2 linked regions of the Caenorhabditis elegans genome follow. The protein of the gene in region 1 interacts with the protein of each later gene in a pairwise test. Each region holds a gene or a part of one and is shown in the gene's direction. Other genes may lie near its edges.

Region 1 (6,593 bases):
TTGCAAAAAGTTTCCCCGATATTTATAATATTATTCAAGGATCACTTGTTGATGTCGCATCGACAAATGCCTCATCTCTTGGAGAGTAAGTTTTCGAAAGAACATTAAAAATTTTATACCTAAAATATATTACTATAGTCATTTCCGTATGCTTTATAATTGATAAAATAAAATAAAACAATTACAGAGGACTTTTGGCAGCTCAACGTGTTCTGAATTCCGGAAGACAACGCACCAATCGATATAATGTGAAACAGGTCATTCTTGCATTTGCAGCTGATTTTCAGTATGTTTTTAATTACAATTTTTTGACCAAATTATTTGAAAACTTTTTAATTTTTATAAGGATGAAACGAAGAAAACGAAAAGTTAGTAATAATTTTTTAAAGTATGCACAAAACAATCCTTCCTGTATGACTGTTTGAGTTGGTTGCATTTGAAATATTTTGGTTGTTATTTATCTTGATTCTGAAATTGTTGAAAGCTTTTTTCGGAGCTTAATATTTTCAGGGACGAGTTTAGCAATCTGAATGCAATAGAATTGTCACGTGATCTACAATCAAATGGAATCTCTATAATTACCGTGGCATGCACAAAAGACAGCTATGCACTGCCAAGAATAAATATGTGTGCTACTCCAGGGTATGCTTTTGTCGATGAAATGAATACGTCAAAGCTTGTAAAACAATTGACAGGTGCTCTTATAAACAGTAAGTACATTTTTTGTGGTTCTGGAATTATTTTGATAATTTTTCAGTTAACTGCTTCTGCCCAGAAGATTGGGTTCAATACACGGGATCGGATAAGAAAAAACTAGGAGTTTGTATCAAGGGATTCGACTTTTCCGGTTCCGCATGGGGATATGACCATGCTGTTCAATATTGTCAGAACCAAGTAAGCAGAGGACATTTGGCTAACGAGTTCAGCAAGGAAAAGCATGACTTCATAAATCGTAAGTCTATTTGCATATAAATAAGTGTTTTTTTCGTGCGGCAGTTTTGAGATTTTAGGAATATGTACCTAATTGATACCGTTTTTCCAATATTCTTGTGAAATTCATTTAATTATTGTTTCAGTCTACATGATGAATACATTCAATCGTGGGATGCATCTTGACTACTCCATTGGACTACGTTATTTAAATTCCACTTGGGTCTGGGAGGAGCCAAAGGGACAACCAAAACTTCCGGTATTGTTTTCATTCATCATCTAATGAAGAGTATATTTTTTATAGTTGAATCCTGATATTTATTCAACATGGGCACCAGGATACCCACAGAAAAACTCAACTGGGCAAGTAGTTGGTGTTAAAGCGAATGGAATTTTGGTAAGTATTTTACTCACGTTGAGTCTGAAACTAACATCAATTTGTTCCTTAATTTCAGACCAATTGGGTGGGCAGTGCAACTTCGGAATGGCTGTTTGTCTGTCAGGTTCAGTCAAGCAGCACAGAGCATTACACAACATATGTGGAGCAGCAGTGATCATTTTTTAAGTTGCTCATTTTTGTATATTCTTAAATTTAAAACAAAACTTGCAACGTCAAATTTCCAGTAATTAATATTAGCGCATTCGATAAGTTTTAGCGATTTTTTCCTGTTTTATGTTCTACTGATGTTAAAAATATTCATATTTCCACGGCAGCATTGAAATAATTTTTAATCATTTTTCCAATAGTCGTACTCTACGTTTAGAGCATTATTAACATGGCCAATCTAAAAAATTTCGATCTTTTGGTCCAGAAAAAAACCAGAAAGCACAGAAAAACCACAAATCAGAAAAACGACAACCCAGATACGTAAAGAACAGGTGAATTCAAATCTGTCATTTTTCAAACTTTTACTTCTTATTTTAGCACTCAACCTTTCATATTTGATCTCAAAATCACACATCTCCGAGTGAAAATATTTAGTTGCGTTTGTTCCTGAAAGTTATTAAAACTTTCCATTGATTTCCAAACTTCAAAAAACAATGAAATGCTGCTCCAAATGGATTTTTATTAACGTTACATTTAATCGGAGGCGTTTCACTACTGATGAATCTTTTGGCAATGTATATGATATGGTTCCAGTCAGCAGGCATGTATGGATATAGACATTGTCTTACATATGTGCAGGTAGGATTTTTTGCTAGCATATGTGTTGTTAGAAAAAAATATTCAGATAGTTTCCTTCTTAGTTGAAATCATTATGGCATGGATGATTCCACTCCATATTTTCTTTCCACTGGTAGCTGCCATTACGTTGAGAGAAGGTCATCGCATAATAATGAGTAATCAAATGGCTCTCACAATATGGATATTCCTGCTCTGTCTTGTTCTTCCGGCGAGTATAACTTGTTTTATCTACAGACATGATGCAGCTTTGCAAATCAATGAAGTGGGTCTCGAAAGTTTTTTCTCAAATGTTTTCCATAGCAATATTGTAGAACAACTCCAGTAAATATTCCCACAAAAAACTTGCCATGATTTTAAATCACATTTTCCCATTTCTCACCGCCATCGGCACCTCAAATTGTCAAAGTACTATTGAGCAGAAATATGAATATGTGCTGCAGGTGAGAGATATCAGGATACCCATGCATAAAAATTGACATTCAGAATTACCCACAGTGCATATCTTGGGTAGCATCAGAAAATTTCGAGGCGTATGACTATCATGTGAATCCTTGGCTTGTAAGGACGGTTAGTGCGGGGATTGGATTTATGGTCGTCAGTACAATGTGGGTGTTACTAAAATTTGAAATAGTTTGAATGTAGAAACTTGAATTTGAAGGAAAAATAGATTGGAGTATGTCTGTCTAATAAATAGTCTCAGAATGCTTGATTCAAAATCTATACAATAAATAAAAAGTTGAAAGAGTACACTACAGCCATGGCGCCTGTCTTGGCGTTCATACAATGATTGTCCTCCAACGCCTCCGATCCCATATGTCCGTACAAATCTATCAGACGCACCGAACAGCCCTCATAAGTTTAGCAATGCAAATGGCCTGTCCTTGTGTTTTCATTTTTCCGGTTTATTTTTATGCTGTAGTTTCCTGGTTAGAAGCTGTTGAGTTGCAAGGTGAGTTTCTTCTGCAATAAATTCTTTTAACAGGATGATACTTCCAGTATTCGTAGCCTGGTGTCCATGTATAGTGTCAACACATTCACTTTTGCTATGCACTGTGATGATCATGAGGAATAAGAACTACCGTTACGTTTTGAAAGAGAAGCTCTCGAAAGTGTTAAGGCATGTAATGAACATAGATCAATATCTCTGAAGTCAGGTTTCAAGTGATGTGGAGCCAAGTATGATGAGGACAATAACGTAGTGGTAGTTGCTCCTGTCACGACAACCGCCGGAAACCCTATCGCGGCGGCTGCCGTGAAGTCTATTAACAGTCTCCTCTGGTTTTTGTCGTTCTTTATTATGAAAAGGTTTTCTTTTATATACATCAAAATGGGCGGGAAATAGATTGGAATGCACTTAAAGTTGTGGGTGGATACATTCAATTAAAAGATAAGGGGATTGATAAAAATGAAAGTACAAAAAATATAAAATCTGATCCTCTTTGTTGCAGAGGATTAGACAGCTCCAGTTTTACCATAAGCCACCGAAAATATAACAAACAGTTAGTTTTCATTGTTCCAATAAATGTTTCACATGGCATTTAATATATATTTGAATAAATGGAGAGTAAAATTTCATGAAATAAATATATTTTTGCCCGCGTTAATGTGTTTTTTTAAAATTTTAACAAGTAATGTTTTTTCTCTAATTTTTCATATACATAAATTCATTCCTATTTTCTCACCGATTCGATCGAAAGAATGTACGCGCCGGGATATACTCCATATGTTGCTCATGGTTCCCCGTATGGTGCCCCAATGTATGGATCTCCGTATGGATACGGATACGCGTCGCCTGCCTATGTGCAACCAGTTGGACCACCAGTTTATGCTGGACACGGAGGATATTATAATGATGACTGCTGTGGATGCTGCTGTGGAGGATATTACTACTAGCCCTTGATATTTTTTATTATTTGAATAAAGATTTTTTCCCAGAAAAAATAAAGATAAACACTCAAACCAATCTGAACATCCAGCTCCCCACTTACAGCGATCAATAATAGCCACCCATCAAAACTGTCTCATCGTAAAAGGTGCAAGGTATCCCCCACCTATATCTCCTCTTGTCACAGTGGGAAAACGGTCGAACGCTGGTTAACAACCAAATGGGGGCGTGGCACTCAGGCCCGTATATATAAAGACAACCGGAAAAATAAGAATCATTCATTCTGGAAATCTTCCAGTTGTTAGCTACCTAGCTCTTTCTTACTCACAACTTCACTTTCAATTCTCACTGTCAAAATGGAGTACTCTTACATTCCATCTTTCGCCCTTTACAACAATGCTGATATGTTCCAATTCTTCCCTCGTAATAAGCGTCTCAGTACTCATCAGAAATCTTGCCTTGATGAGCATGCTCGGAAAATGGCTGTTTTCATGATGAAGCGACAAGAAGAGTACCGTTACTACGAGAACTTGGCCAATCAGGAACAGTTCTCCGATGATGCCCACTTCAGCGACAATGGAATGGATTCAGGATTCTGCAGTGGAGCGACATCAACTGGACAATCAGCTTCTACATCTCCTGCTCCAGTTCAGCTCATTCCAAATCCATTCTTCGATCCAGAAGCCAAGACTCAATCTCCAGTGAAACTCGTTGACAATCCAGAGCTATTCATGGAATCCAAGAAGAAGTCTGCCCGTATTTCAGCTTAATGTTTAAACATATTCAGTTTCCATTTTTGTGATTTTTATTCTTGATTAATTTGTCGGATCTCATAACCCTCGTAATAATTGTACATTTCAAAATCTCCCTGAAATTCTTTGTGCCGGTTTGTTTACTTTTTTTTTCAATTTTCAAAGAATAAAATTATTCAAATTCAAAACTAATTTTGTGGCAGTTTGCTCAAAAAACACAAATCTTATAAAAAACTACATTTGCAACAAAATTAAAAATCAATTCTACTTACTATTAGAAACGAACAAACTCGCTTGAAACTGAAAATAAGTTTCTCTATTTTTGGAAGACTGAAAACTTTCAAATTACGGTAGTCTTTTATAAAAAACATTGTGAATTCTCATAGTCTAAAGGTCGATTAACAATGATATCATATATTTCTAAATCATAAAGTCCGATATCATCATTGCACCTCCCAAATTTGCAGTTTTTGTATCTGTCTAGCCAACCAACTACGGTTTTCTTTTCCTCCCGCCCCTCATGGACCAAAATTCCGTCAACTATCGGTATTTCCATTTGTGTTCTTATCACTTTTCAAAAAAGATGATAATAGCGAGGAGCAAGTGATGATGACAAGCAATCTAGAAACAAGAAATGGGTATTTAAGAAAGTTTAAATGCTATCGAAAATGTCGAAAAGTTGAAGTTGATCAAAAAATGAGTACACTCGTCATATTTTTAACGTTGGCAGTTGTAGGTGAGGTTTCGACAGTTAACCAGACATGAATTTAAATATTTTTTTTAGGTACACTATGTTCACCGGTTCTACAGAACTCAGCAGCAGTCTATGCTGACCGGGTATGCCAGGGAGATATCAAAAACTTGTGGTTGGACGTAGTTGTAGTTGTTGATAAGTCTCAACTGATGACAAATGCACAGCTCTGGCAGGTTAGTTGTAATTTTTAAAAATCAAAGTTTTTCTTTAATTTGAAAGTTTAAAAAAATCTTAAATTATTTCCCAAATGTCCAAATTAACAAACAATGTTTTTAGGTCAGAAATACCATTACTCAATTATTTGGCTCATCTCGAATCGGTCCAACTAAATACCCAGCGGATCCTCGTAGTACATGTGTTGGAGTTGTGACGTATGATTCCGATGCTACCACAAACGCTCAATTGGACGGACCACACAGTTTCACTGATTTGTACAATGTGGTTCAAGGATCATTGAACAACGTCGATTCTACAAATTCGTCGTATTTGAGCAAGTGAGTTGAGATCTTCATTAAAAAAAAAGTAACTCGCACAAGTTTCAAAACTCACCAACTTTCAGAGGACTTCTGGCGGCTGAGCAAGCACTCAAGAATGGGCGTAGCCGCACATATCGGTTCAACTTTCTGAAAGTTGTTATAGTTTTTGCAGCTGATTATCAGTAAGCTGGAAAGAATGATGTAACATTACTAAAAAGTTAAATTTCAGAGGATCAGGAACCTCTAATGATGCATTCCCAATTGCTAGACGCATGAAATATGACAATACTATTATCATTACGGTAGCGTGCACAACGAATCAAGCAGCATTGGATGGATTAGCACAGATTTCTAGTCCTCAATTCAGTTTAGTGGATGAGATGAATACTTCTAAATTGGTTAAACAGTTGACAACGGCGCTATTGAGCAGTACGTTATATATTTTTACGTTAACTAACTGAAAAATGCATAATGACTATTATGTCTGTGGCATCATATCATTAGAAATCTCTTGAAACTATCTAATTGGAATTAATATGCATTCAACATTCATAGAGAACCAAAGATTGTAATCGTTGGTTGGATGTAACATACCTGGGTAATTTATCAC
Region 2 (7,389 bases), 7.2 Mb from region 1:
AAGTTTGAGTTAGAAATGAGTTCAGATAAGCAGTTTTGACTTTAAAAAATTAATACGAAATGTTCTCGTGGGATCTCCAGACTGGTTCTGATTCTTCCGATCTTTGATGTTCAAGTCTGTTTCAAGCTTCCTGGTGCTCTCGGTAATGCCAAAACTTGATAAACTCTCTTTAACAAGTTCCTACTAAAATTCCTAGCACACACACCATAAACATTTTTACGCCATCCCCAAGAAACCAGTCAGAAACAGCGTATTAACAAGTTGCAGTTATTTTTGATCAACAACAGAACATTCATATACTAAAATCAAGAAAGGATCAATAGTTAATCGGGTTTCCTTGTGTGCGGATGATCTCAAACAGTCTGTCCTCCATTGATCTGACCAAACTTTTCAGCTGGTTGTCCGGAATAGACTTCCAAGCGTCGAGAATTCCTTGCTTCAACGATGCAACTGTTGGGTAAGTCTTGTTCTGAGCATACACGATACGGACAAGAATCCCCCACAAATTTTCGATTGGATTGAGATCAGGACTTCGAGCTGGCCAATCAAGAAGGTTGATCTTCTTGAGCTTGAAATAGTCGCGGGTTGAGTTGCTCACATGGATTGTCGCATTATCCTACTGAAATCTAAAGTCTTTTCTGGAGTAGTGACGAAGATATTTGGAGAGCTCCAGTTCCAAGACGTTCTGATAGTCAGTGCTGTTCATCTTGCTACTGACGAACTGTATCTCAAGCTTCTTCTTCTCCGTGAACGCTCCCCAAACCATCACCGTTCCTCCTCCAAAATTACGTCTCGAAAAAACCATTGGTTCCTTGCGCAAATCGCGCCAATAGTAGCGGCAACCGTCAGGCCCATCGAGATTGAATTTCTTTTCATCGGAGAAGACAACCTAAAACAATGATCCTAATTATTCACTCTTGCTTTTTTAAATTCTCACTTTACTCCAATTCGTTCCCATATTGTTCTTAGCAAATTCCAATCGCTTGAGTTTATGGTCTGCAGAGAGTAACGGAGCAGGGCGAAGTTTCTGACGAACGATTACACCAGATCGTTTGATGACATTGAGGATGGTCCTTTTTGAAGCAGACAATTGAAGCTCATTGCGAATATCTCTTGCCGTCTTACAGGAGTTGGAGGCAGCACGAATCACATTTCGTTCGTCACGCACGGAGAGAGCTTTGCGACGAGGAGCTCTTTTAGATGTACCGTAGCTCACCGGATCCTTCAGATACTCGCGAATACAGTGTCGAGAACGGGAAATTTTCCTACTCATTTCATGCAGGGACACATTGAGCAATTTCATAACATCCAGCTGAGCGCGTTCAGTGTCCGAAAGGGCAGATCCTCGAGGCATTGCAAGTTAGACTGCTTTCGAAGTAAGCTTTCCAGCCTCTATATGTGTGCCACAACACATGCCACAATTCCACATTTAATAATTCACGCAAAAAATAGTAAATAACATCTGTGAGGGACAATTTAACTTGAAATATTGGTCCCATGGAACCTTGTAATCAAAGAAAAACGATTTGATTCCTGATAAGCCTTCCATTGTTTCCTGCTGCATATTTTGCCAAATCAGCTTGACTACACAGTCGAAACATCTAAAGTGCGTGCTAGGAATTTTAGTAGGAACTTGTTAAAGAGAGTTTATCAAGTTTTGGCATTACCGAGAGCACCAGGAAGCTTGAAACAGACTTGAACATCAAAGATCGGAAGAATCAGAACCAGTCTGGAGATCCCACGAGAACATTTCGTATTAATTTTTTAAAGTCAAAACTGCTTATATGAACTCATTTCTAACTCAAACTTGATTTGAGCTTTGTCAAAAATTCCAAAATCTGTTGATTTTAGTAAAAATCGTGAAAAAAAACGGGGGGTCCTATAGAAGTTTCACACTGGATTTTGACGTTTTTTCCAGCGCGACCTCAGTTTTTGAGATAAACTTCTGGAAAAAAATTTATATAGGTTTTTTTCAATTTAAAAACGAACGGCATTAGCAGTTTTTCGAAAAAATTTTCGGAAGTTCCTCAAACCTTCAAATTAGGGGGGGTCCTATAGAACTTTCCCACACTGTATGATTATAAAAACAAAAAAAAATGAAGTTATAACCCCAATTTTAAACTGTAGTGTTTTGAAAATTTTTGGCAATTGGAATCTTCGGAAACTGCTGGTTTCAAAAAATATGGGAAATTTTTCAATTTTTTGTGAAGCTGCCAAAAACTTCAATTGCCGAAAAATTTCGACTGAGGTATTGCATTTTTTATTGGAAATTTTGAAATTTCAGTTGTAACTGCAAAATTACACGTATCTTACATGAAAAATGAGAAAAAATATATTAGAATTCTTGCTGAAAACGAGAAAAAATGTCAAAAATATGTGTCATCCGTTTTTTCTTATAAAAATTCCTTCAGAAATTTTGCACAATTTGCAAAAGCGGAAATCGGAAAGTTTTCTATACATGTCTTGAAAAAAACTCCACCGCCACTATTTCCTAAAATTTGTTAAAAATATAAAAATGGCTGTTAATTGCAAATCGATAGACTTACTGATAACAAAACTTCATCTCACTTTCTTCATTTCTCTTCCCCACAATTTTTTTAAAAACTCTCCAAAAAATGTGCGAAATTATTAAACTAGACGTTGGTGGAACTATATTCAAAACTTCAAAAGATACATTAACGAAACTCGATAGCTTTTTTAAAACTATGTTTGAAAGTGATATTGCGGTATAATGTTGCTGACTATATTTCTCCAAAAACCTGAACATTTTCAGCCGAAACTCGAAAAATCCGGATGCATTTTTATTGATCGTTCCCCGAAACACTTCGAGTTAATTCTGAACTTAATGAGAGATGGGAATCTGTGGTTGCCCGAAACTGAGAAGGAATTGAGAGAGTTGTGTGCGGAAGCAAATTACTATCAGATGTTTGGACTGTACAATAAGTGCGGTGTGAAACTTAGCACTATAATAAACTTCCGAATGATTCAAAATCAAAAACCAATAACTAAAAATAATAGTTATACTCGTTTTTTTGTTTTTTCATTAATTTTTTTGGTATTTGTGTATTACATCCCTGCACTAAAAAGCTATTTTATTGTTGAAAAATCTAGTAAATGCTACCTATTTTAGTGGCTATTAAACGCAATTTTCATTGTATTATGCTATCATAGAAATGTGAACAGACCCGAACGTAAACCTATTATAGTATGGAAAAAAATCAATTGAAAACACTGATAACTTCAAATCGATCGACTCACTGATAACAAACCTTCATTTCACTTTCCTCTTTTTCTCCTCTACAATTTTTTTCAAAAACTCTCCAAAAATGAGTGAAATTATTAAACTAGACGTTGGCGGAACTATATTCAAAACTTCAAAAGATACATTAACAAAGTTCCATAGCTTTTTCAAAACTATGTTGGAATGCAAAACTGGGGTATGAAAATCGTTGTTTTTTTCCAAAAAAAAACGTGAAAATTTCCAGCCGAAAATTGAAAAAACCGGATGCATTTTCATAGATCGGTCCCCGAAACACTTTGAATTGATTCTGAATTTAATGAGAGATGGTGATCTGCCACTGCCAGAAGATGAAAGAGAGCTGAGAGAATTGATGGCAGAAGCTCAATTCTACTGGTTGGATGGTCTAGTCTTAATGTGCTGTGATAAACTTAATTCTACAAAAAAGGTCCAAATTGATCAAAGAGCAAACACTAAAAAATATGATTTATCATGGTTTTTTGTTTTTTCAATAATTTTTTTGGTTTTAGTGTTTGTGTATTACATGCCTGCACTAAAAGGCTATTTTATTGTTGAAAAAAGAAATAAATGTTATCTTTTTTAGTTGTTGGAAATTTTAATTTTTGTTAAAAAAAATCATTTTGAAATATGTACTGATCGATAATCTTATAACTGATAACAAAATTTTACTCCATCTTTCTCTTTTTCTCCCCTAGAAAACTCTTCGAAAATGAGTGAAACTGTGAAATTGGACGTTGGTGGAACTATATTCAAAACTTCAAGATCTACATTAACAAAGTTCAATGGATTTTTCAAAACTATGTTGGAGAGTGACATTGGGGTCCGATTTTTCCAAAAATTTCCCGATAAATTTTCAAATTTTCAGCTAAAAATTGACGAATCTGGGAGTATTTTTATTGATCGGTCTCCGAAAAATTTCGACTTGATACTGAACTTTATGCGAGACGGCGACGTGGTTCTACCCAATTGTGAATTGAAACTGAAGGAGCTGCTAGTAGAAGCTCAATTCTATTTGCTCGACGGACTCATTGAGTTGTGCAATTCAAAGATTGAGCTTGTTGAAGCTCCAAAGATAAAACTTCGATTTATTGAAAGCGATGAACAATTTCTTCAAATTCTTGCTGTTCAACAGAAGGTGAGTTTCGATAAAATAATGTAGTTTTTCAAATTCATAGGAATATCTCAGTCGGTAGTGGTAGCTGCTAGAAAGCTAGAGGTTGCGGTTTCAAGTTTAGACTCATCCCCTAGGTTCACCCAGTCTGTATTGGAGAGTGGAGCAATCCATGACTGTATTATCGGCCACAGTCCCTGGCTAGGACGTGGCTTAAACTATAGGCCAGTGCAAGCTGTAGTCCTAATAGTAAGGCCACACTGTATGGCGTTTGTCAATCATAAAATAATTAACCAGTTTCTTCAAAAAATTTCAGCTCTACATATAATTTTTACAGCCAATGCTCATAATTGAATTTTGCATGGTTGGGAATGATATGTCGATTCCCTATAACTTTAATCTTTACGAGTTCATGGAAAAGTATTCACATCAGTTCGATATTTATTTTCGTAAGTTTTTTGTACATTATCCTCATAAAATAGTCAATTCAGAGCGATTGAGTGAAGACGAACCTTCTCGCAAATGGAAAGCAAGGATAAAATGGAAACCTACTGAGAATGGATATTACAGTCAATTTCCACACAATCTTCGAATTAATCGAGGTGGACGGATAATACGGGATGCAACATTTTTGGAACGATTGGAAAAAATGATCGGGGAGTTTGATGAGTATTTGAAGAAGCAGAGGAATAGATAATTAACTTATTTTATGGATTTTTCGACAATATTTCTAATTTAGAAGCTTAAAAAATTATAATTTAGTAAGCTTGTTTTTTTATCTTTAAACACAAAACACATGGATAAGTTCAAAGTCTGATTGATAACAAACATTCTTATTTTTATTTTTTGAGTTTGGTTGCATCTGTGCCTCAAACCGTAACTATTTTAAAATATGAACAAGGTTGTTAAACTAGACATCGGCGGAACTATTTTTAAAACTTCAAGACCGACATTAATAAAATGTGATGGATTATTCAAAACTATGTTTGAATGTGAAAGGGTCTGATTACCGTAATCGATTAAGAGCGATTGAGTGAAGACGAACCTTCTCGAAAATGGAAAGCTAGGATAAAGTGGAAATCTACCGAGAATGGATATTATAGTCAATTTCCGCACAATCTTCGAATTAATCGAGGCGGACGGATAATTCGGGATGCAACTTTTTTGGAAAAATTAGAAAAAATGATTGGGGAGTTTGGTCAATATTTGTATTTGGAGAAGCAGAGAAAGAGATAATTAACTCATTTTGTGGATTTTTTGACAATATTTTCAATTCAGAAGTTTTTTTTTATTTCTTAACATTTTTGATTTTTTTGTAAAAAAAAAAACAAAATTTCGCAACACTGATAATTCAAAATCGATCGGCTCACTGATAACACAATTTCACTCCGTTTTTCTCTCTTTTTCCTCTCAAAAACTTTTCAAAAATGAGTGAAACTGTTAAACTAGACGTTGGCGGAACTATTTTCAAAACTTCAAAAGATACATTAATGAAACTCGATAGCATTTTTAAAACTATGCTGGAATCTGGAACAGGGGTTTCATGATATTGATTTCTTACCTGATTTGAAAACTTGAAAATTTTCAGCTGGAACTTGACGAATCCGGATGCATTTTTATCGATCGCTCCCCGAAACATTTTAACAGGATTTTAAATTTCATGAGAGATGGTGACCTGTCACTTCCCGAAAATTGGAAGAATTGCTGGCAGAGGCTCAATATTATTTGCTGAATGGACTCATTGAATTGGGTAATATTAAAAAGCTACCAATTATTGAAAGCGCACGAACTTGTTCTGTATCTTCTCCCCCACCTCCATGGATATCCAAACCTTCTTGGATTTCACGGAAGTGATTGTTTAACTGAAATAAATTGAGTTTTCATTTTATTGGGAGTATTGTAACTGGAAGTGAGTTTATAGAGAGTTTTAAAAATAATACAGTACAAACAAACTTAAACTTCCAATTTTGCAATTCTGAGGAAAAAAACAACAATTTGGTAAGGCTGAACAATTAAATCGACTCACTGATAGCAGAATTTCACTCTGTTTTCTTTTTAAGTGTTTGTTTGTTTCTTTAATTTTCATCACATTAATGGAAAAGTAAACAGAACATTTTTTGAAAATTTTTTCTTTTCTGAGGAAAACAAAATTTCGAAATACTGCTCGATAAACCTGATAACTAAATTTCACTCTACTTCTTCTCTTTTCTCCACTCAAAAACTTTTCAAAAATGAGTGAAATTGTGAAACTAGACGTTGGCGGAACTATATTCAAAACTTCGAAATCTACATTAACAAAGTTCAATGGATTCTTCAAAACTATGTTGGAATGCGACATTGGGGTTTGTTTTTTAAATTGTCCATTTTTGAATTTGCTAAATTTCAGCTGAAACTCGACGAATCTGGATGCATTTTTATTGATCGCTCCCCGAAACATTTCGACTTGATACTGAATTTCATGAGAGATGGTGACGTGGCTCTACCCAATTGTGAACTGAAATTGAAGGAACTACTAGTAGAAGCTCAATTTTATTTGCTTGACGGGCTAATTGAGATGTGCAATTCAAAAATAATGCCAGTTGAACCTCCGAAACTAGTTGGGAGAAAATTTCAGTTTATTGAAAGCAATGCAAAATTGCTTCAAATTCTTGCTGACCATCAAAAAGTGAGTTAGACTGTACTTTTATTGCTTTTAATTTTTGAAGTTTTTCAGCCATTGCTCATTATTGGATACGTACATAATACCGATATACTGCTTAGGGTGTCCCTTCCAGATAATTTCGATGCGCGTGCGTTCATTGAGAAGTATTCCGATCAGTTCGATATTTATTTCAGTGAGTTAATATAGAAAATAATTTTGTTGATATGTTTGATTATTTAAAGAGGAACACGTTTCACCTGCTCTTGGGTGGACTGCAAGGATAGTGACGCACTATTATGAGCAACGAAACGTTGAGCTTCCGCCGCCGTCAATTGGCTGGGGACAAAGTGCATCGTTTTTGGAACGGTTGAAAAAAAT

Evidence for each region. Proteins that work in one complex are often made in the same cells at the same time.
Region 2: the proteins of ZK666.2 (region 1) and ZC239.15 interact in a two-hybrid assay, tested with the Caenorhabditis elegans proteins (one large-scale study listed by BioGRID).

What each region holds. Positions count from the first base shown.
Region 1 is NC_003280.10:10,469,112-10,475,704, reverse strand, and holds ZK666.2 (Spore coat protein), read left to right. Parts: upstream 1-3,814; coding exon 3,815-4,009; downstream 4,010-6,593. Other genes in the region: clec-58 (VWFA domain-containing protein), read left to right, coding at 1-85, 188-286, 511-710, 758-952, 1,077-1,189, 1,235-1,327, 1,386-1,484; ZK666.1 (Pepsin-I3 domain-containing protein), read left to right, coding at 4,358-4,771; clec-143 (VWFA domain-containing protein), read left to right, coding at 5,450-5,489, 5,538-5,680, 5,784-6,001, 6,067-6,165, 6,213-6,412.
Region 2 is NC_003280.10:3,221,223-3,228,611, reverse strand, and holds ZC239.15 (BTB domain-containing protein), read left to right. Parts: upstream 1-3,880; 5' UTR 3,881-3,968; coding exon 3,969-4,079; intron 4,080-4,124; coding exon 4,125-4,394; intron 4,395-4,707; coding exon 4,708-4,819; intron 4,820-4,861; coding exon 4,862-5,067; 3' UTR 5,068-5,279; downstream 5,280-7,389. Other genes in the region: ZC239.17 (Potassium channel tetramerization-type BTB domain-containing protein), read left to right, coding at 2,732-3,130; ZC239.16 (BTB domain-containing protein), read left to right, coding at 3,327-3,437, 3,486-3,842; ZC239.13 (BTB domain-containing protein), read left to right, coding at 5,798-5,908, 5,959-6,102; ZC239.14 (BTB domain-containing protein), read left to right, coding at 6,602-6,712, 6,757-7,035, 7,084-7,204, 7,254-7,389.